Drosophila melanogaster: one gene and its partners. The protein of the gene in region 2 interacts with the protein of the main gene of each other region in a pairwise test. Each region holds a gene or a part of one and is shown on either strand. Other genes may lie near its edges. The genes, in order: CG5280, CG5062, CG11905 and CG3323.

Evidence for each region.
Region 1: the proteins of CG5062 (region 2) and CG5280 interact in a two-hybrid assay, tested with the Drosophila melanogaster proteins (one large-scale study listed by BioGRID).
Region 3: the proteins of CG5062 (region 2) and CG11905 interact in a two-hybrid assay, tested with the Drosophila melanogaster proteins (one large-scale study listed by BioGRID).
Region 4: the proteins of CG5062 (region 2) and CG3323 interact in a two-hybrid assay, tested with the Drosophila melanogaster proteins (one large-scale study listed by BioGRID).

The regions. Positions count from the first base shown.
Region 1 is NT_037436.4:8,988,561-8,991,860, reverse strand, and holds CG5280 (uncharacterized protein), read left to right. Parts: upstream 1-1,632; 5' UTR 1,633-1,727; coding exon 1,728-1,932; intron 1,933-2,040; coding exon 2,041-2,412; intron 2,413-2,478; coding exon 2,479-2,654; 3' UTR 2,655-2,792; downstream 2,793-3,300. Other genes in the region: CG5068 (uncharacterized protein), read right to left, coding at 3,166-3,300.
Region 2 is NC_004354.4:5,179,632-5,184,098, forward strand, and holds CG5062 (uncharacterized protein), read right to left. Parts: upstream 2,739-4,467; 5' UTR 2,550-2,738; coding exon 1,953-2,549; intron 1,889-1,952; coding exon 740-1,888; 3' UTR 551-739; downstream 1-550.
Region 3 is NT_037436.4:16,930,640-16,937,509, forward strand, and holds CG11905 (uncharacterized protein), read right to left. Parts: upstream 4,898-6,870; 5' UTR 4,849-4,897; exon of another isoform or gene 4,667-4,848; 5' UTR 4,570-4,666; coding exon 4,555-4,569; intron 2,722-4,554; coding exon 2,654-2,721; intron 2,373-2,653; coding exon 632-2,372; 3' UTR 533-631; downstream 1-532.
Region 4 is NC_004354.4:5,302,451-5,307,491, forward strand, and holds CG3323 (uncharacterized protein), read right to left. Parts: upstream 3,242-5,041; 5' UTR 3,095-3,241; coding exon 2,881-3,094; intron 2,805-2,880; coding exon 769-2,804; 3' UTR 538-768; downstream 1-537. Other genes in the region: CG42749 (uncharacterized protein), read left to right, coding at 3,429-3,545, 3,627-3,744; CG17764 (uncharacterized protein), read right to left, coding at 3,944-4,762.

The DNA of each region.
Region 1 (3,300 bases), on a different chromosome or scaffold from region 2:
CGTTTTTAGTTAGTAAGACGATAGTTTGTTTTAATGTTAAGTTTATTAACTGTATGCCAAGGCGCCCCCAAAGATATGATCAATTGACTCGGGCTCGCAGGACCAACGGCTGGCCGATGAACTTGTGGAGCCCATGCTGCACTCCCCGACGGTAATCCCATGTCGGTTGTCAGCGGGGGCGTGGCATCTTACTGTCAATGTTATTAATGTATAGGTTTCGTAAATGTTGTCGCCATTTATGTAGTTAAACTAACAAGCCAAGCCCCACAACACACACACACACAGATCGCAACAACAGAATACAGTAACTTCTCTCTACCTAGGAAAATTTGGCCAAATTTGATCAACATTTTACGCTATTCTAAACCCCAATCACAACATCAACTATTTCATTCACTATCAACAACGTCGCCAAATGAAAGAAATACCCCGATCTGAACGACGACGAAAAATGGTTTATCTAGTAAAAAATTATAAAATGAACTCTGCATCGTGACCATGAGACTGACTAAGATTACTTTTCGCAACTATAAAAACTAGAAGGAAGAAAGCTGGATGGAGAGGGAATTGAAAAGTGAGAATTGAGAAACGAGAGCTGATAATTGTTTGCGCGAATCAAAACTAGGCTTGCTGAATGAAGTAGTAGTCACATAATGAATATGTTTATATATACACGTACACATAATTTATTTTAAATTAAAAGGAACATATTTGCTGAACCGTAACTGCACCAGAGGAAATCGCAACGGCGGAAACTACCACTAGACTAAACTTTAACAGAAAAGAGTTTCAATGTTTCACTGTTTGTGTTTGAGAATCGGAACCACATATTGTATTTTGCATATTTAAGCGTAAGCCAAATCCATGTATTGCATACCGATCATGATCACCATTGTCATTGATTAGATTATCTCTACTATTACTATTATGTTTGCTTTAGTCAATTGTTTATAATGTAAATGGCAAGCCAATCACTCGATATGTTATGTTTTAGTTGTTTTTTTAAAAATTATATATATTTATATATACAAATGTATGTCGCTAAGCTTAGGTTCAAACAAAAAACGACGATGGGCCAAGCTGGAAAAAAGAAGGCAGCCAAAAAATATTTACCTTAAGAGCGTAAAAACGTGTAGTCTAATTGTAAATGTATAAAAACGAACAAATGCATGTGTAAAAATCTTGGTTGGAAATGTTTTTGTTTTCTAATTTCTCGTCGATATTTCCAAGATTTGTTTGTTTACAACAACCGCAACACTGTAAATCGCAGATGCTTTTATTTAATAATAAAAACCTATTGTACGGCCAGTTGGGATACAAAGATAATCGAAACCTAATTGTCAAACTTTAGCGAGTTCAAAACGATCCACAAACTAAATGGTTTATTGTAAAAGTGCAACTACTCGTAGACGAATGTGCATAAGTCAGTTAAATGTTCGCAAAATTATCATAATGCGAGCATAAACCAAGCGTGTACCTACCCACACATATACACACATACAATACCTACATATATTTATTTTCAATAAATTATTTCGAGATTTAAAAATACCCATGCTGTTTACCTAACAACCCAGGTTGCCATGCGTCTCCACTTTTGTTGTCCGGCGAAAAACAACTTCATACCGAGGCTAGCCTTCAAACACACCAAACGAAATTATCGAAGCGATTTTCTATAGTATATACAAGCCTTACTTTTCCGGAGCAAAAATTATTAGCTTTACAGAATGAGCCGACATCGCTTCAACAACGTGCAGATCAAGGCATTGCCCGGTGGTCTGATGGCCCACCACGAACCGGATGCGGATGGCGGACAGCCCGGTTCGCAGAAGCTGCCCATGTGGCCCAGTGAACGCATTCCTCCTGGCGGTGCTGGAGCCTTCCACTCGGCCAAGGTGCAATATAGCAAGGAGACAGCTGATCTGATCCGATGTAAGTGCGTTTTGGGCATGCCAAATATCTAAGGAATAAGAGGATAAGAGGACCATCCATAAAGATAATCGTGTACATTTTCCGCTTCGTTATAACCTCCCTTGTTAGTGCTTGTCAAGGAGTCCAAGATGTCGATGTTGGTACGCAAGCAGATCGATGAGAGCCTGCGCAATGGGGAGCCATTGCCATTGCCCGAACCGCCGCGTCCCAATACCAACAACGATCCGGACAAGGAAACACTGGCCATTTTGGATCGGGCACGCAATGCCAAGCGTAAGAATCTGCGGCAGATCGAGGCGAGCGGAGCTTACAAGCAGAGCTATTACCGCCCGCCCGCCGACAACCGAATGCATGGAGAGAAGGCCAAGTCGCAGCTGCAGTTCACCATGGCCGGCACTCATTTGCCCGATCCGGCGATCAAGCCGCGACGTCGTCCTCGCGAAGAGCAACTGGTGACGGAGGAGGATCTCATAAACGAGCGTAAGTTGGAATATTTCTTAAGCGGAATAAAGCGGAATTATACATTGAGTTGGCATGCTCCTACAGTTTTGGACCAAATCAACGAGCGTGCTGAGTGGTTGACGGAAATGGAGTCCATGGGCCAGGGTAAGAAGTATCGTCCAGAGATTCGAGATCAGATTGCCGAACGTCTGCGTCGCATTCAGGCGCTGGAGTCCAAGATGAAGATGAAGTCCAATGGCGGCTTCCGTTTCGTGGACTAAATGTGTTATCCTGTTTTTAAAGTTTCATGATTTCATGATTGAGACGACGAGTAAACCAAATAAATAAATTCCAAGATTCATTTGAATTTAATGGGAATTTATGGTAACACTCGATTAATAAATAGCTTTATTCAACTTATTCGCATTCGTATAATTTGGATTTCGTTAAATTTTCATTTGATCTGGCACATATTTAATACACACTCATTATAACAATGCAAGAAGCCCAAACGCAAGCACTTTAGACCTTAGATTTTTGGCAAAATGAGTATAAAGTACAATGTTGAAAATTCAAGTGGTTTAATTAAAAGTACCGAATAAATTACTGGATTATTAGTTTATGTGTATATAGAATATACGGCTGTATATATCTGGACCTACGCACTACATTTTGTATATATATATATATATGCACGCATCTGTAAGTTCAAAGAGTAATGCACCTCCATTCAAAAATAGACTTTTGTGACCTCAGTTTGTGCTCAACCTCGGATTCAGGGGGTGGTTGTGTTTAGCACGACGGCATGTGGCAACGAAATTCGCTGGCTGCTTCTGCAAACCGATTCCGGATCAAGTAGCCGCTAATCACCTCAGCCACCTCGTGTGGACGGTCCTCGTGCACGGCGTGACCGCAGCGGGCCAAGAC
Region 2 (4,467 bases):
AACTCAATTAATCTCAGCGTTCTGTTCTCTGACTTTACAGAATTGATAGCTTCGTGCGAGAAGGCGTGGCTGTGGCGCCTCTTTTGTGATTTATACTCGATTTCGCTGCGTGTTTTGCTTAGTTTTTATCCTTTATACGAATAAATGATATTCAACAAAACTGCGCGAAATCCCTAGATCATAAACTAGTTAATAATTAACCTTAAATAAAACAGTAACACCACTGCCCAAAACTGCATTTGAACCCATTGTTTTTGATTACTTGTGTGGCTAATTATTTTTGCAGCCGCAAATGCGACAGGATAAAGTTGACTTTTAGTTGCACCGAATACCGTGTGCAATCTGTGTGCATATTTAATACATGCAAAAGAGTGAGCGCAGCGATAGAAAAAACTTTGTTTGCTCTATCAGCTGCTGCTTAATGAGTGCCAGTCTATATATCCTTTTGTCTGCGGTCTGCAGTTTTAACTTGTTGAATTGACAGCAAACAAAAAAGGCGAGGAACACACGGAAAAGTTGCCACCACAGGGTGGCTAAAATACGTGCATATACATTATGTACATTTTATATGTGCTGCAAGTTTTAATTCCGCCAAGCTCGAAAAGTCATCATCTATGCCATTGTCAACTTGAGTTCATGTGTGTGTCTGTGTGTGTGTGTGTGTGTGTGTGTGGGAGTGAGTGTGTGCGCGTGTTTGATGCTGTCTGTCTATGGATGGATTTTTAGAAAATATAACTATCTAAGTGAATTCAGCGCCCAGCTTCTTTTTGTTGCCAGCATTGGCGACACGACCCTTTAGCGATTGCACCGCCAAATTGGGCAGACATCCGCGCTTTTGTAGATCATCCAGTTTGACTGTGATCACCGTATCGATTTCCTTTTGCCGCTGCGCCTCAGCTGCCCGCTCCCTTTCGAAGGCCAAGTGTTCCTCCTCCAGTTCGCGGCGACGAGCCTTCTCCCGTTCTTCGATTTGGCACGAGACACTGGAGCGCAGACAGGCCTTTTTGATGGCCTGCTCCTCGGCCTCGCGCTTCATTTGCTCCTCGTGCTTCTTTCGATACTCGATCATCTCCTTTAGTTCGCGTTCACGTTGCACATAGAAGCAGGCCTTCATTTGGCTAAGATGCTCCATTTGCTCCATATTGGCACGCTTGAGTTCGGCGGCCATTTTGCGTTCCTTTTCGGCTGCCTTACGTTCGTTTTCTCTGTACTTTCGTTCGAGGCGTTCGTGTTCCGCCAGGAAATGCATCTCCTCGCGATTATCCTTAGCATCGAGAATCTTTTGGCCGACTGCAAAGAGAACATCCCGTTTGCGTTTCTCATCCGCCGCGATGGCTTCGCGTTCCGCTCGCTGTTGTTTCAATTGCTGCTCCTTGAGCTTTAGATACTCGTAGGCCCTGTTCTCATCTCTTTGATCCTGTTCGCACATCATCCGTACGAAATTGCGATGCAATTTCGTATACTTATTCAATTCATCCCGATAGGCCAGCTTACGGCGCGATTTCATCTCGCCCTCTGCCAATTCAGCCTTTTTATACTCATCGACGGCGGCACGCAAGTCTCGCGCCTCCAATCGCAGACGATCCTGGGCCAGGAAACGTAACTTTTCGCGATCAGTGATTTGTTCACGCACTGCGTTGCCAAATTGCCGGCGCCTCTCCTCTTCGGCCTGATCTTGCTGCTCCACCGTGCCCCATTTGGCATTGTTGTAGTCGCGATTCTTGCGAGCCATCTCCTCGTCATGATCGAGTTGAATGCGATTGAGTAGCTTCCTTTCCTGTATCTGAGCCGTCCACATGGCACTGCATTTGGCCTCGGATATCGCACGCGTGGCATCCTTAACTCGCACATCTGACTCGTATTTGGCATCCAAGGCGCGGTGTAGTACCTACAATGGGTGGTGGAGATATACTTTCGGAAATATGGCTAAGAACCATAAACCAAAAAACTACCTGCAATCGTTTGGCCTCCGCACGCCGATCCTCGTTGACATCCTCATCGGCCTCGTCATCGTCCCTCTTCTGGGCCTCGCGCTCCTTCTCCCTGCGCTGCTCATCAATGTCGTGGAAATAGTTACGCATACGTTCCGCTTCGGCTGTATGATATTGCTGCTCCTCCATCCGGCGATCCTGTTCCGCGCGACGCTCCTCGGTGGTACGCGGCCTCGATGCCCGCATGCGATCCAGTTCGCACTGTGAGAGCTCCGCATAGCCCTTGGATTCCCATGATTGACCCTTGATGTGAAAGAACGTGGCCTTGGCACCGTCGTATTTTCGGGCTCGCGGTGGCGCCTTACCGCCACCCACCGCCGAACGTGTGATCTTCTGTCCAGGCACGGCTACTGGATTCGGTAGACGTGTGCCGGGCGGTAATGGTCGCCTCTGAACCTTTGGCTTTACGGGTCTATCACGGCGTACGCCACATAGTGGCTCCTCTTCGACGGTCGATAATGGTGGCGTTTCCAGATAAATCGGCTTCTTAAGTCGATCATAGCAATCCGGGTGCAGTTTCATCGCAGCTCGCGAACGACATGGCATCACCATTGGCATCTTGACGAATTCTATTCTATATGTATATCGCGTTTGAAATTGCAAATGGCCAGAGGGGTGTGGGGTAAAACGCAATAGCAGATTTCTCGCTTAGCTATTGAGTTTGTTCCTTTGTTCGGTTTGTTGGCGTGTCTGTTTGTGTTATTTGCTCGGAGGCTCTTGTTTTGTTTGCTTGTTTCGTATATTTCGTTTGTTTATCCAATCGAATCTGGCAGGTTAAATCTACATGAATTCAAAGCTTGCTGGGTATAGCATTACAATTACAGGGTATTTGCTGGGAATGTAGGCTCACAGGTACTTTTTGAATCATAGAGTTCCTTTAATAGGTCGGTTATACATTTGAGTATCCCAAAATTAAACATGCTCGTGTACGCTGCTTCTACACTTGTTCACACCTGACCACTTGAGTGTCGTTTTTTGTCGAGTGGCAGGTGAGAAGGAAAAACTAGAGGATAAGTGAAGGGGGGGGGGGGGGGGCGAGGATATATGGAAAGCTAGTTGGGGGAAAAAGGGAAAGGCTGCCGCCGCTGCTGCATTTACTTCCGCCTGCTTTGGTTGCATTCGAAGGCGTTGATGCTTGCATTTTGGAATAGCCCCGACAATTTGCATTCTTTGTATGTAAGTGCCACGCCCATGGCCCGCTTGCCCCACCGCCTACTCTCCCTTCGAAATCCAGCCACCAGGTAGGTGGCATGAAAATTTAATTACACGCCTCGCTGAAACGCAGTGCCTGAATATAGGGGTCGCTGGTTTATTTTTTTTATATATTTTTTTTGTGAAAATCTCGCTGTTGCCCGTAGATTAGGCTGGTGAGAGAAAAAAAAGGATAATGGAGGAATATATATAGTTCAACAAGCTGGCTTTTAAGCAGGGCTATAATACCGCATGTCACTTGCTGCTCGAAAGTGCTCGAAAATGATTATTTTTGCTCAAGTTATGCTTATTTTACGGTATTTTGGTATATGTATAACTTAACTAGCCGGAGTCTTTTGTGCACTCGATACTGACCAAATTCCATTTTAGTCGTCATATGACGAATGCTGGAAGAGAATTCGAAACCGAAACTCAATATCCAGCCCATAGTGTTTGTCTTGTCTATTTGTGTGGCGCTTGTGTTGTTGGGCGCACAAAGAGACATCTCCATCTACTACGCTACTCGACACCCAATACCAAATACTCGAGATTCCGATGAGATGGTGTGGTGGCCGTGGGGCAAATGGTTGCCTTCACTATGGACAACCAACAGCGACCACCTCTGACTGCATGGGTTCCGCCCGAAATACACTCCTGTTCGCCAGACATCAATAACACCGATGTTTCTCACATCGCGCTGAGCGTGAAGTTTTTGCCATAAATATGAATTATTTTTTTTTTTTGGCAAGCAGCTAAAAATCATATTACGTACTATAATATATACGACAAGGGGGGGCATCGTCTCCGTAAAACTTTTCTCACATTTCAATGGCAATAAAAGTGATTTAATAAGGCGCAAAACAACACAACAAAAGGGGCAAAAAAAAAAAAGGGGGCGTACAAATTTTTGGGCAAGGGCAGCGGGCAAGCCAGCCAGAAAAGCGAAATCAATTTGATTTGTCGCCGTAGACGACGACGACGATGGTGGGCGGTGGGACGATCCACCGACCACGCCCATTGCGTGTGATTAAGTGCGCGTTTAATGTGCACGCCATGGCCATAAAACAAATTGTATGCAATCCTGCCACCGAAAGCTTTCGCAATTTACTCCCCACACAACTCTGGAGGAGATTTACCCGGCTTCATCTGTGTGCGTGTGCGTGTGCGTGTGCAATGCTACTACAACTACTACTACAACTACTACAACAACAGCCTCCGTGGGTTTATTCCTCTTTTCTCGCAATCCTTCTTCATTTCAGAGTTCCGTAACTGATTTTGACCCGTA
Region 3 (6,870 bases), on a different chromosome or scaffold from region 2:
CGGGTCTTCACTGCAGGCAGAGCCTGTAGCTTTTCTGGTTTCTCCAACTCGCTGGAGCTGTCATCAGCTAAGCTTTCGGGTCGGCCAGTTGTGGTAGTGGTCGTTGTGGTTGTTGCACTGGCTATGGTGGCTTGATCGGCACTGGCGATGGTGGGTTGCACCACATAGGCCAGGGGCAGATTGTAGGCGGCGTAGTATGGGGCACTGAACAGCACGGGTTGATAGGCTCCATAGGGCGTGAGGTCCTGGGCCGGAGCAGATCCTGCAATGAGTTTTCCGGACTTCTCTGCGACGGGTGCTCCTGGTGGCCAGGCCTCGATATTGGTTGTGCGCCAGTAGGCACTTGAGTTAGGATAGTTTTTGGTTTAGGAAGAGTGGGATAGAGGAAAATGGTGAAGAGAACCGCCGGTTAGTCGTATATTATTTACAGCAATAATTCGAGGGGTTAAACTGTGTCGGGTTAATATCATGCGGAATAAGTGTGATATCTAAAACTACTATGTACAAGATGAAAGCAAAAGCCCAAACAATTACGAAATACAAATATTTATTAGAACACTAGACAATACCAACTATGGATCCTAACTAAATGTGCTAAATAATAGCTATTAGGTTTAAGCCTCGAACTGGATTAGGACTCGAACTGGCCCGTCTCCAGCCCCGCCCCCTGATCCGCCTCCATGGTTGTTGTGCCCGTGGGTGGAGCATAGTAGACCGTTGGTCCTGTAGCCACTATCTTTCCCTCTCGCGGAAAACTTCTCGTCTCCAGATCGGTGCGTGCCAGGGCATCTTTAAGGTCCACATCTGCCGGTATGGAGATCACCTTGGCCCCGGGACCGGCGATGGTGAGACTCCGTGGATGGGTGAGAGCATAGCCACCGGGACCAACAATCGCCGTTCCTCCGCTGCCCGCCGTGGCCACGCCCCCGGGTCCTGCGATAGCGATGCCGCCCCTGCGAACCTTTAGCCGCTGAATGATGATTCCTCCTTCGCGCAATGCCTGCTTTTGGGTGCTTTCCTGAGCGGTGGCCACCTGGCTCACAGTGTGCATCAGGTGATGGCCCTTGTGAGCAAACAAGTGCTTCTCTGAGGAGGCACTGTTGTCCAGTTCCGCGGCTGTGTTCTCAATGGTATCCACATCATCGGCCATCCCATCGCCGGCGCCCTCGTTTTCATCCTCCCATTTATAATCCATCGAATCGATTGAGTGATTCTTCACAGGAACATTGCCAACAACCACAGGACCTTCTCCAGCTGTGGCCGCCATTGGAGGTCGGAAGGGGAGCTTGAAAATGTTTTGAAAGGCATTCTTGATGGCAGTCGAGGTCTGATTCTGCATCTCAGCTATATTCATTCCGGGCATGCGGAATGGACTTAAGCGATTCCGATTGGGCAGCAAGCCACCAGATGGTGGTAAAGTAGAACTCAACAGGACAGGCGCAGATGTAGCCTTGATATTAAGGGATGTGGATCCCTGGTAGATTTGCTGTTCAGCATCCTTTCCACTCAAGCGAACGGGTTTCGCTGTGGAACCAACCTTCTTTCTGTTCAAAGAATTTAATTCCGGTGACGAAGTGGGCTGAATCTTCTGTGGCTTATGCACGGGCTTCTCGCGGGAGTCCAAACGATATTCCTTGAAGTTCACAGGCACTGGAGCCTTTGTGGTGGTCGTACCAATGGTGGTGGAATTACCCCTTTTTGGGGTGCCATCTTCATTGAGAGCCAGTTCTCGGGGCAGGAAGAACAGGTGATACTTGGGCGTCGTCTTGCCCTGTTTTCTTCCAGCCTTCGCCTTGCCATAGAAGCTGTCCACATCGCCAATGATTTTGTATCCCTTTATCTTGTATTCCTGCGAGGCGTGCTCCTTGAGATACTCCTCCTTATTGAGTTTGTACAGGTGCACGGGCACCACAAAGTGGGCGGGCAGCTGCTGTGCTTCTTGTTCGGAACTCGGCTTCGGTACCTCCACCTGTTTGGGTCGGAAGTAGAGTTGCGCTTTCTTCTCCTCCTTGGAGGTGCTCTCAATTGCCTGGCGCAACCTGGGAGGCACATTGTAACTGCCCGCCACATTTCTTGTGAGTTTCACCGCCCTAATTGAGGGTTCTAACAAGGTCTGACCATTACTTCCCGAGAAGTGGTGCTGATGGGCGTGAAATGGCTGATGGGCGGGCTTGGGGAACAGGTATTGACTGGAATCAAGGATCGGTGGCAGCTTGGGCTGCTCCGGCTGCTTCTTCACGTAGCCAAAGGCCTCGTTAACCTTGGCTATCTGCTCGAGGATGCGCTTGGCCTCGTCCGCCTTTTCCGAGGACGGAGTGGCCGCATTGGGCTCAAAGTCCTCGGGAAATTTGACCAGCCGCTGCTTCTGAATTCTGCAAACGAAAGGTGGGGTTTGTTTGGTGGTCTCTATCTGTTGGTGGAGTTAGCTTCTAGTTGCTAATGCAGGGTAATGTGTTGTTGGGTGGAGGGAAATGAGTTTTGAGGGTTAGTCACAAGTCTGGGCTTTTTTCGGTTTAGTCACATAGTTCTAGGCAAGCGCATCAACTTCTACTTGGAATGAGCATTAGCGTTGACACAGTCACATTTGGCAGGCAAGGCATTTCATGGTTATTTGGGGTCTTAGGGCTGGGTAACTAGCTACTAGTCTACTTACTCGACGGCCAGTCCACCGTGCTGTTGAGCCTGGCCAAGTGCCAAAGAGGCCAGAAGCAGTGTTGAGAGCTGAAAGACAAATGTGTGACAATAGATGAATGAGATCTATGATTTATGCCGGTTAGATAGGGTGTCTGTATTCTGATGTCGTAATGGATACAAAATTCACACGTGTGGAATGCGGTCAAGTCCCGAAAGTCGCGAAAGTCTCTCTCTCCCTGCTCCTCCAGCACATTTGCATAATTTCTTTCGCTGCTGAAAGCTACGCCGAAAAGTGAGAGCCAGGTGGCAAGGAACGGCTTATGTACTTGACGGATTTTCCCTCGAATACGATTGTCAAGAACCTCACGATCGGCAAATATTTGACTCACTCTCGCCGGCTCTCCACATCTTTGGCAAAGTCAATATTGACGCAACCGTTAGCCGGTGGAAACGACCAGCCCGCACGCCTATCTATCAGCGCCGAAATGTCACAAAGCCGAGAGGAACTGAGACCAAAAGCCAAAACCAAAGCTGGATTCGAAGTCGAGGCTCGTGTTGTGTCATTGACCTGAACCTCTAGGCGGCTGTTACGATTTCGGTGCCGAAACGTAACTCGAGAGAAGAGATTCTGGCGCAGAGGCTGTCGAACCTGGTTGCCATTGATTTGCAAGAACTCTTGCATCCCCAAGCAGTAAGATGTATTTCTGTCTGCTTTCTTTTGTGTATTTCGCCTTATTTATTATATTGCCCTCACATAACGATGCCGATTCGACCCCATATCAGGTGTGTCTTGTCCAAAAATAAACTGGGTTAATGGCTCGAATGCAAAGTTTAAGCGCAGCATTTTATGTTCTCAAACAAGTTATAAATGAGTCTGTCTCCTGATCTTCACATCCGATCAGGTGTCTTTTGGTCTTAAATGATATTCCAGAGCCATTCCAATGCAGCTAATTGAGCAGGGATTGATGGACTTGGGACGTGTGGCTAACTGTCTACACTCATAAATTGATTAATTTATGAACCACTATCGAAACGATCACAAACTCGAAAACAAACCAGTGCACTTATAGTTAAGAACCCCACACAAATGTGACCGATTGTTTGATAGTTGGGAGGGGGAAAAGAAGACTTATATTACCATTTGTTAGCCCACGCATGATTTTTATACGTTTGCGGCATATTAATTTTATGTTCTTTGAGTCATAATTATTTTTTGGGCTTTTCAACCCAAGTGGTTGTATTGGTTGTGGTTATAATTGAATGGCATTGTTGCTTATGGGAGTCGCTGTAGAGTTTTGACTTTTAAGGGCATGCTTTTCATAATGGGAATATGAATAATGCAAGGAACAATACTTCCTAGGTATGAATGATTAATTCTCACTTTTTAAATTGGGGTGGGGCTAGAATATTGTCACGTTCAAATGGAATGGACAAAAGGGTTTCACTTTTCAGAAAGAATTAACTCTTTTGAAAAACCTTTACTAAGTGAACAATAACTGGCACAAAGAAGTCTTAACCTTTTGCATTCATATAAAAAAAAGTTTCCCCAATATAGTTCTTTGCGTCCAAATTGATTTGTGATTATTATAAACCCCAAAAAGATTTTAGGCACTCTTATTAATATTTGCATATGGCACAGAGCATAATTAAGGCTAATTAAGGCGATCAAAAAAAGGAAAGAACCAAGCCAAGAATCAAAAAAGTCGCTTAGTGAAAGTTAGTGTCGATTCAGAAGTGAAAGAAACAAAAGACTTAAGGCACGAACTTGGGCCAGTTGACGAGTTAATGAGTTCAGCGGCAGCACAGAGCAATAAATGATTAATTGCGGTCAGGTATAAACTAGTTTCGTTTTGTATTCCCAAAATGTGAAGTTAAGTCATTCATGGTATTTAATTTTCTTTTTTATGCGATTTGACTTACAACAAGAAAGCGCATTTTAACGCGAGGTTCTGGTGAATAGTTTCAGATTTTTCAATAAATGCTTGGTGTTCGTGGCGTTGACCAATCCTCGCCTTGACAATATATCCTTGAACTGCAAACGAGAACGGGAATGAGTGGCACTCTGGGTTATCACGCGGCAAAATCACACACACTAAAAGCACTATAAAACCAATCCTGCTGAGCTTTCAATTTACGATTGTTTCAGGTTCCGTTGTTTTTCTTTCTTTTTTTTTGTCACGCACAATAAATAGGGTCTGGAAATGGAACTCCTACCAAGAACCAAGAGCCAGCGAGCCAGGCGACGTCTGAAGATGAACTGAGTGCTGGCCGGGCCCAGCGCGTCTGTTTATAACATTTCCATTAGCGATGCAAACGACGAAGCGAAAGAAATGGCCAAGAAAACAGGGCCCGATCAGGTGTAAGAGAACTGGGTTTTGGGCAGAAGAGAGAGTCGAAGAGAAGACCGCGATTCGGGCACGTAGTCGAGCGCCTTGGCCTGGCTTTTATCTGGGGGCGTGGATCTGTGGGATTTGGTTACCAGCTCCAGGGTACACAACACCAATTGATATGCAGGCTTACAACTCTAGGATTTCGCAGATCGAAATCTTCCCCGATCCCTTGGGTTAGGCAAATAGTTTGCCTAACATATTGTCAGATATTTCTCAAGCATTTGATTAAATGTGCTGACAGTCGCTTCTTCAGTCTACTGTTTCGCAAACTCGCACCTAGCAAGAACACAGAATCACAGCGCTGACTTTGATTAATTGGCCGTTTATTGGCTTGATTGAGTGTGACTGGACAGGAGCGAAGTGACTGGCCATTACAAGTGGAGTGAGCCACGAGAATAGAAGCGAAATGCGTGTGGGAAGTGGAAAGGTAATCAGCTCGGAACGGGCCCAGAACATGACATAAGCCAAAATGGTAAGAGACTTACCGTGATGAAAGAATCGATTCGTTGCCGGGCAATTCAATTAAAATGTTTGCCTGGAACTCGTTAGAAAGTTTCGCACATAGTGACTCAAGAGTCATGTTCTTTTTTTTTTTTTTTGATTTGACAAGCACTTCGGCGTGAAGACTTCACACACTTCTCGGGTATCAACAGATGTCAGGATTAAGACTTAGCTTCGGACCGTTTTTGATCGATAATCATGAATAACAAATGTCTGAAATCAGAGAAATTGATTTCAGGTTCGTGCCTTAAGTCATTTGTTTTCATTGCAGACCAGTCTTTATTAGCCCAGAACCATTAATTTTGTGATTAACTTTGCTGTGATACAACTGCAATTTATTCTTTTATTGGCTTTTATGCCCCGAGCAGCCAGCTACTGACTGCGCTGTGAAATAATGCATATTCCTTGATTAAGCAGCATCGAACGGGGGGTCGACCTTTGTGGCACACGCAGGCATCAATAAAATTGCCACAAGATTTATGGTTTCGAGTGCGCAGAGCCGAAGGGAGCATACGAAATTAGCAGCAACACGTTGTAAGCCCCGAATGCGCCACACGCACCACTTGATCCACAATTGGAATGCAGCAATCAAAAGGCGATAAATCGAACCCCAACTGAAATCCAAGCAGCCGAAGAGCGAGTCGAGAAGTTGAAGACCGAAGACCGAAGACCGAAGACCCAAGACCCAGAGACCTTGGGGCCTATTTATAAATGCAGGCGAAACGGGACTGCTAGTGGGATGTCGTTGCCTAGGCCCGGGCCAATTAAGTCTGACCTTCGGCGAGGAGGAGAATCCCAGCCCAAACCGTTGTTTATGAGGGGGAAAATAAACAGAAACAGCTAACTGGCACCTGGGAGAGCCGGAGCCCCAGTAATTTGTGGTTTCAATGCAGGCCGTTCTGCTGCTACGCTAACCCAATTATGCACCTCGGCTACTTCCCAGGTGAGCCATTGATTTCTACGCTGAGAACGTGGCCATTTCAGCCATACAAACCCTAGACCCGGCCGAATAGAATCTATGTCAAGCTATGGCAAGCTTTTTAGTGCTCTTCTGTACGTTCTTTTAGTGCATTCGGCGAAGAAAGTTTTCGAGTGCGTAGGAACTTGTTTCAGGGAAATCACTCGCTTAGATCTCTTGACATTAAAACTTAATTGTGGCAGTGAAACTTTCGGTCAAAACTGGCCCATGTAATAACTTTTTGTTTTAGCAAATATGCATATTATTATTGCTTATGGGCTTTTCTTGGCTTCGCGCGGCCAGAAATATATTTTATTTAGGCCACGCCGTGGACGCCAAGGCTTTCCGTTCGATTCAAATTATTTGGCAAGTGCGCGCACGCGTCGA
Region 4 (5,041 bases), 120 kb from region 2:
ACGATACTTTACCGTTTCCGCTTTATTGAACCATCTCTCCTCGCTGTTCTTCCTCTAACAGAATATGTGTTCTTTGTTCAGCTCTGCGAACACGATTTTAACTCTTGCTTTGGTTTCTAGCAATGCCACGCGGCATGCACGCAAACAAGGCAAGGCTAAGCCGCCTGGCCGTTAAACAGCTTACCCGATACCTGCTTAAAACCGCTTACCCGCTTACCCGCTACCCGATCGCAAACCGATTTGATTACGTTTTTCTAGCCCTAGTCGAAACAGCTATGCACCCGCGTTCGGATGGAATCCCGCCCGAATCGGGTCAGAGTTCAAACGAGTAACGGGTAAAGGTAAATTTCTCCACCGCCTACATTTAAGATTTTAAACGGTTATGGTACACACACGCACAGGCACTGCTGTACATAAAGAAATGCTTGAATAAACTTAAAACCTATAGAAATGCTTTTTATATTGTTTCGCTTAACCGCTTCGCTTAACCGATACAGATTCGAATGGGAATCGAAATGCTTTAGATGCTAACGGTTTGCAATACACATGAAATTTTATTAACTTTGACGTGGCTTCGCTTGGGCCCGAGTAAGAAAACAATAAATTCGAAAAATAATGTGAAATCAAACACCGAATCCGGTTATCGGTGCTTTTCCCGCTACTTGCTATTATCGCCACATTTCCCGCTACAGTTTTTCTCTCTCCTACTTTTGCATTCACTGCTTCTTTTTCTATGGCATCTTGGCAATATTTCGATGGTTGTGTAGCTTAGCAGATAATATCCGGAGATCCGATGGCCATGATGAGAACTAATATAACAGCGATCTGGACCATTCCCACCAATACGGTTTTGAGCAACTTCAAACGCACCTTGGGCTCCACGTCACAACGAACGGGTGGATCGGGCGCTCTACGAGTTATTACTTTCCTGGTCTTCTTTGGTCGCGAATCGAGATTGGATTCCAACGCGTCTTCCTCTTGCACTTTGCCGTTCGGCTCCTCCACTTTCATTCGCTTCCTTGTCCTGGGACTGGGATTGGGTGTAAAGTCTGGTGAACTAATTTCCTCTTCCGCTTCTCGAATTTTCTCCAACTTGGACAATTCCACGTCCGTTTGAGTGGTATTGTTCACCTGACAAGGACATTCAGTTAGACGATCGCCCTGCTCCTCTGATTTCACTGCAGGAGTAGGAGGAGCAGCAGCAGCAGCAGCATCATCCACGCCCACTTCGTTGAGACGCACCGAGAGGCGTGAATAGGCAATGGCTCCGCCATAATGGGCCATAGTTGCTCCACCGCCACCCGCCTCGCGTGTGGCCACCTCAAGCTGTTCGACGGTGTTAGCATCCATGATTTTTGAATCCGCATAGGCCAGACTATTGAAGAACATTGTGTCCTGATCCAAAAGATTAAAGGATCCCCCAGCGCCGGGCACTTTTCGCAGTTGCTGAAACAGCATATTCGGATTCTTACGCAACTGACGAAAGTTGGTGCACTGCAATGGATCATCCTCGTTGAGCTGGACCAATGGCGGTTCCTCTTTGGGTGCCGGTAAATAGAAGCATTGCGACTCATCCGCCGTCTTTAGCTCGTTAAGTGTTTTGGTCTCGATGCGAAACTCTTGGACAAAGCCCACATGGCAAACGGTGCCAATGATGCGTGCCCGCATCTCAATAGCTGGTATATATTCCAAGCGCAAACAACACAATTTCCTAATGGGCAGCTCGTCCAATTGATTGGGACTGGTGCGCGGTGTGTAGAAACGTCCAGATGATTGCCGGCTTATATCCGTAATGATTACGTTGCTTCTCGGCTTGGGTATATTGGTGGCCCTTAGTGTCGCCTCCAGTTTTTCGCTCACCTTATGCAGCATATGTATCTCATGCTGCAGCACGGGCAGTTTCTTTGACACCTGATCCAATTCCAATTGGCGCTGCTCCTTCTCGTACTGATCCTTTTCCAGCTGGCGCTGATTATTGTGCCTGTGGCACACCTCCTCCAATTGCAACCTCAAACGGTCCTGACTGCCAACCGCCTTCGACTCGAATTGCTGCTGGCGCTGCAGCATGGCCGCCAATGTGGGACTATCCAACTGGCTGGAGGTGGTCGATGTGCTCTGTGCCAGTCCCTCGACGGGCGAGAGTGTGTATCCCTCGCCGGCGCCACGGCTGCATAGAGCCTCCTCGGAAATGGTCCTCTGCAGCTTGAATGTCTCCTGTTCCTGCAAGCTAAACTCACCATCCTTTGGGCCATTCAAGTGCTCGCTGCTAGCGCGCAATTTTCTGGCAGTCAACAGAGCTTTGACCTTCTTCACCGGCTTGCATACATAGACGAAACTCTTGTTCCCCTCATCCGGCAGGCGTATGGCCTTGGCCAATTTGATCTTGTCGTGATCCATTGAGCTGCCGCTGTCGCTTATTAGCTTATCATCACTGCCGTCCTGCAGAATGCTGCTCTCGCTGTCATGTGGTGTATTCACCAAATGTTTAGCCTTGTGATTGCCCAATGGCAACGTCTGAGATTGCTCCACCGTGACCTCAGTGGTCAGAGCTTCGCGATATTGATTCTTCCTCGGCGATTTGTCCGCTCTGTTTGGCAATTTGGCCACTCGGGGCAGGAAACTACGCTGACGACTGGCAGTGGTGACATTCTTATTGGTGCTTGCATGGGTGCTGCTTAGGAACAACGGAGGGACCGGTATTCCGGACTTTGGTGGTTGTGCGTAACGATGTCTGGGCGACAATTGACTGGTCCAATCCTGTCCAGCTGTGTTGCAGTTTCGAGCCGAACGATTGCTGTTGTTAACTGAACAAAAAAAAAAAAAAAAAAGAAAACAAAATAAGAAAAAAAAATCTGAGATCTTTGGTTGGACGAAACTTACCGGTGGGCAGGCCACGCGACAGCATCTCCGTTCTGGTGTAGGTCATCTTGCGGCGGACATTCTGATTGCCCGTCGCTTGTCCCTCGTTGCCGACGTGATTACCCTGGTCGCCGCCCAGCTGAACCTGTGCCTGTCCCTGCATTTGGATGACTTGCGGCAGTCCCTCCTGGCCGCGATCTAACTGGCGTATCTGATTGATTCGATTGCGATTCATGTTGGTTGCTCCGCTACAGCGATCTATTGCGACATCTGCTATATATATATATATATATATATATATATAATATGTGACCTTCGTTTTGTGTTCGATTTATTGTAATGTCGAGCTTATAAAATAAATATTGGGAGTGGGAGCACTGTTCTAGTCGACTGACTGAGTGAAACGAACAGCTGGGACTAAAATCGAAATCGAACTTGACAGCCGAACGCCGGGTGTTCAAGGACTGCTGCGATGCCATTTCCAAAGCCATCTAGTTGATCCTAGTAGTTTTTTTTTTAGCATCATGGAATTCTTCTTGTTATGTGGCTATGCTATTGATTTCTTTTAGTGACCAAAAGTGCATTGGCGCCCCAGCATTCCGTGCCTTGCCGGGCATCGACAACTGGTGCGAGATCAATTGCCTGCGCTATCCGCCCAATTGTCCGGAGGACGCCTGCCAATGTCCGTAAGTATGCACATGAATAATATGTATCTAACGAGATACATACATAGCAAGTTCGAATCTAAACCCATATCAATTGCACAGTCAGGAGTGCGTGGCCATTGGCGAGTATGCTGGACAGGATGGTGCCGACACCTACTGCATGGACAAGTGTCTCAACTATGAATCGGAGTGTCCGCCGGACAGATGCCGCTGCTACTAAACCGGATTGCGAGCCACAGCTGTGCTGCCCACCCATTGCCCATGCGGAGGATGCGAGATGCGATATGCGAGATCTAATGAATTGAATTTAATCGAAGACACTGCTCTAAATTGTTTGAATTTCAATGGCTTGGCAAGGGGGGGTGCCTCCGTTTGTTGGGCTTTCCGTTTCAGTTCTCAGGCGTCACCGCAAGCCTTACTTACTCCCTCCTGTACGCGTCGTACAGAAAGGGTCGGGTGAATGCCTCGAGCAGCTCGCGCTGTTCGCGCAATCGTCGAGTCTGCGCCATCGGCGACTCAGCGATGTCGATGTTCCGCCGGGCACGGAAAAGTGCCGATACCGTGCTGCCCAGCTGCTGCCAGCGTTCGAAGGCCCGGGATTCGGTGTGCGGCGCATCGAGCATTACTTTGGACGACATCACTGATGCCGACAATTCAGCGATCTGTGCAGCAGCAGCAGCAGCAGCAATGTCTGTGCTGTTGGTTTCCGGTTGAGGTTGCTGTTCAGATTCCAGATTGAACTGAGATTGGGACTGGAGGTCGGGCTCCGTTTCCGGCTCAGATTTGCCAGGAGATGGCAAGTCAACGGACAGCTCATCGGGTGGCGGCATTGTCTGACTGAAGATGAGCACCTCGGCGCGCTCCTCGCGAGCATCATCCTCGCTATCCTCCAGGGGCAGGGCGTCGGTGCTGCCGCTAACTAAATCCCGCACGTGCGCAAAACTGGAAGCGATGCGACGCAGTGAGGGGTCATCCTTTTCCTTTTTCGTCGGCATTGCCGGCGCATCGGCATTGGTTTCCACCGGCGCCTTCTTGCTGTAGGCAGCATCCATTGTGGTTGCTTTGGTGGCGATGACATCGCCGGCATTGGTCGTCTGCTTCTGGCGCATCCTATGCAGATTTATGCTGGAAAATTTGTTACCATAGCTTTGACGCATCTCGGCGCGCTTGCGACGCGCCTCCTCCTCCGTCCTGGCCGCCTGTTGGTCCCTGGCCATCAGTTGCTGCGCCTTTGACATCGTCTAACTCCAAACAGGAAAACGAAATACGGCAAATCTTTAGTTAACACTAGCAAAAAGGAAAAAAAAAAAAAAAACAAAACAAAACACGGACCGAAACGAGCGCTGAGAATTTCGAGAGTTTCAAATGTGCGTCGATTGACTTGGTTACCAATTTGTTTTCAGAAATATAAATACGGTAGCGTGCACTGGAACAGCTTTTGCACAACCTACCAGGATCCTATGTACTACTAATTAACTACTCAATTTTCGCTCGCTTTCAATCACATCTTTAATAGA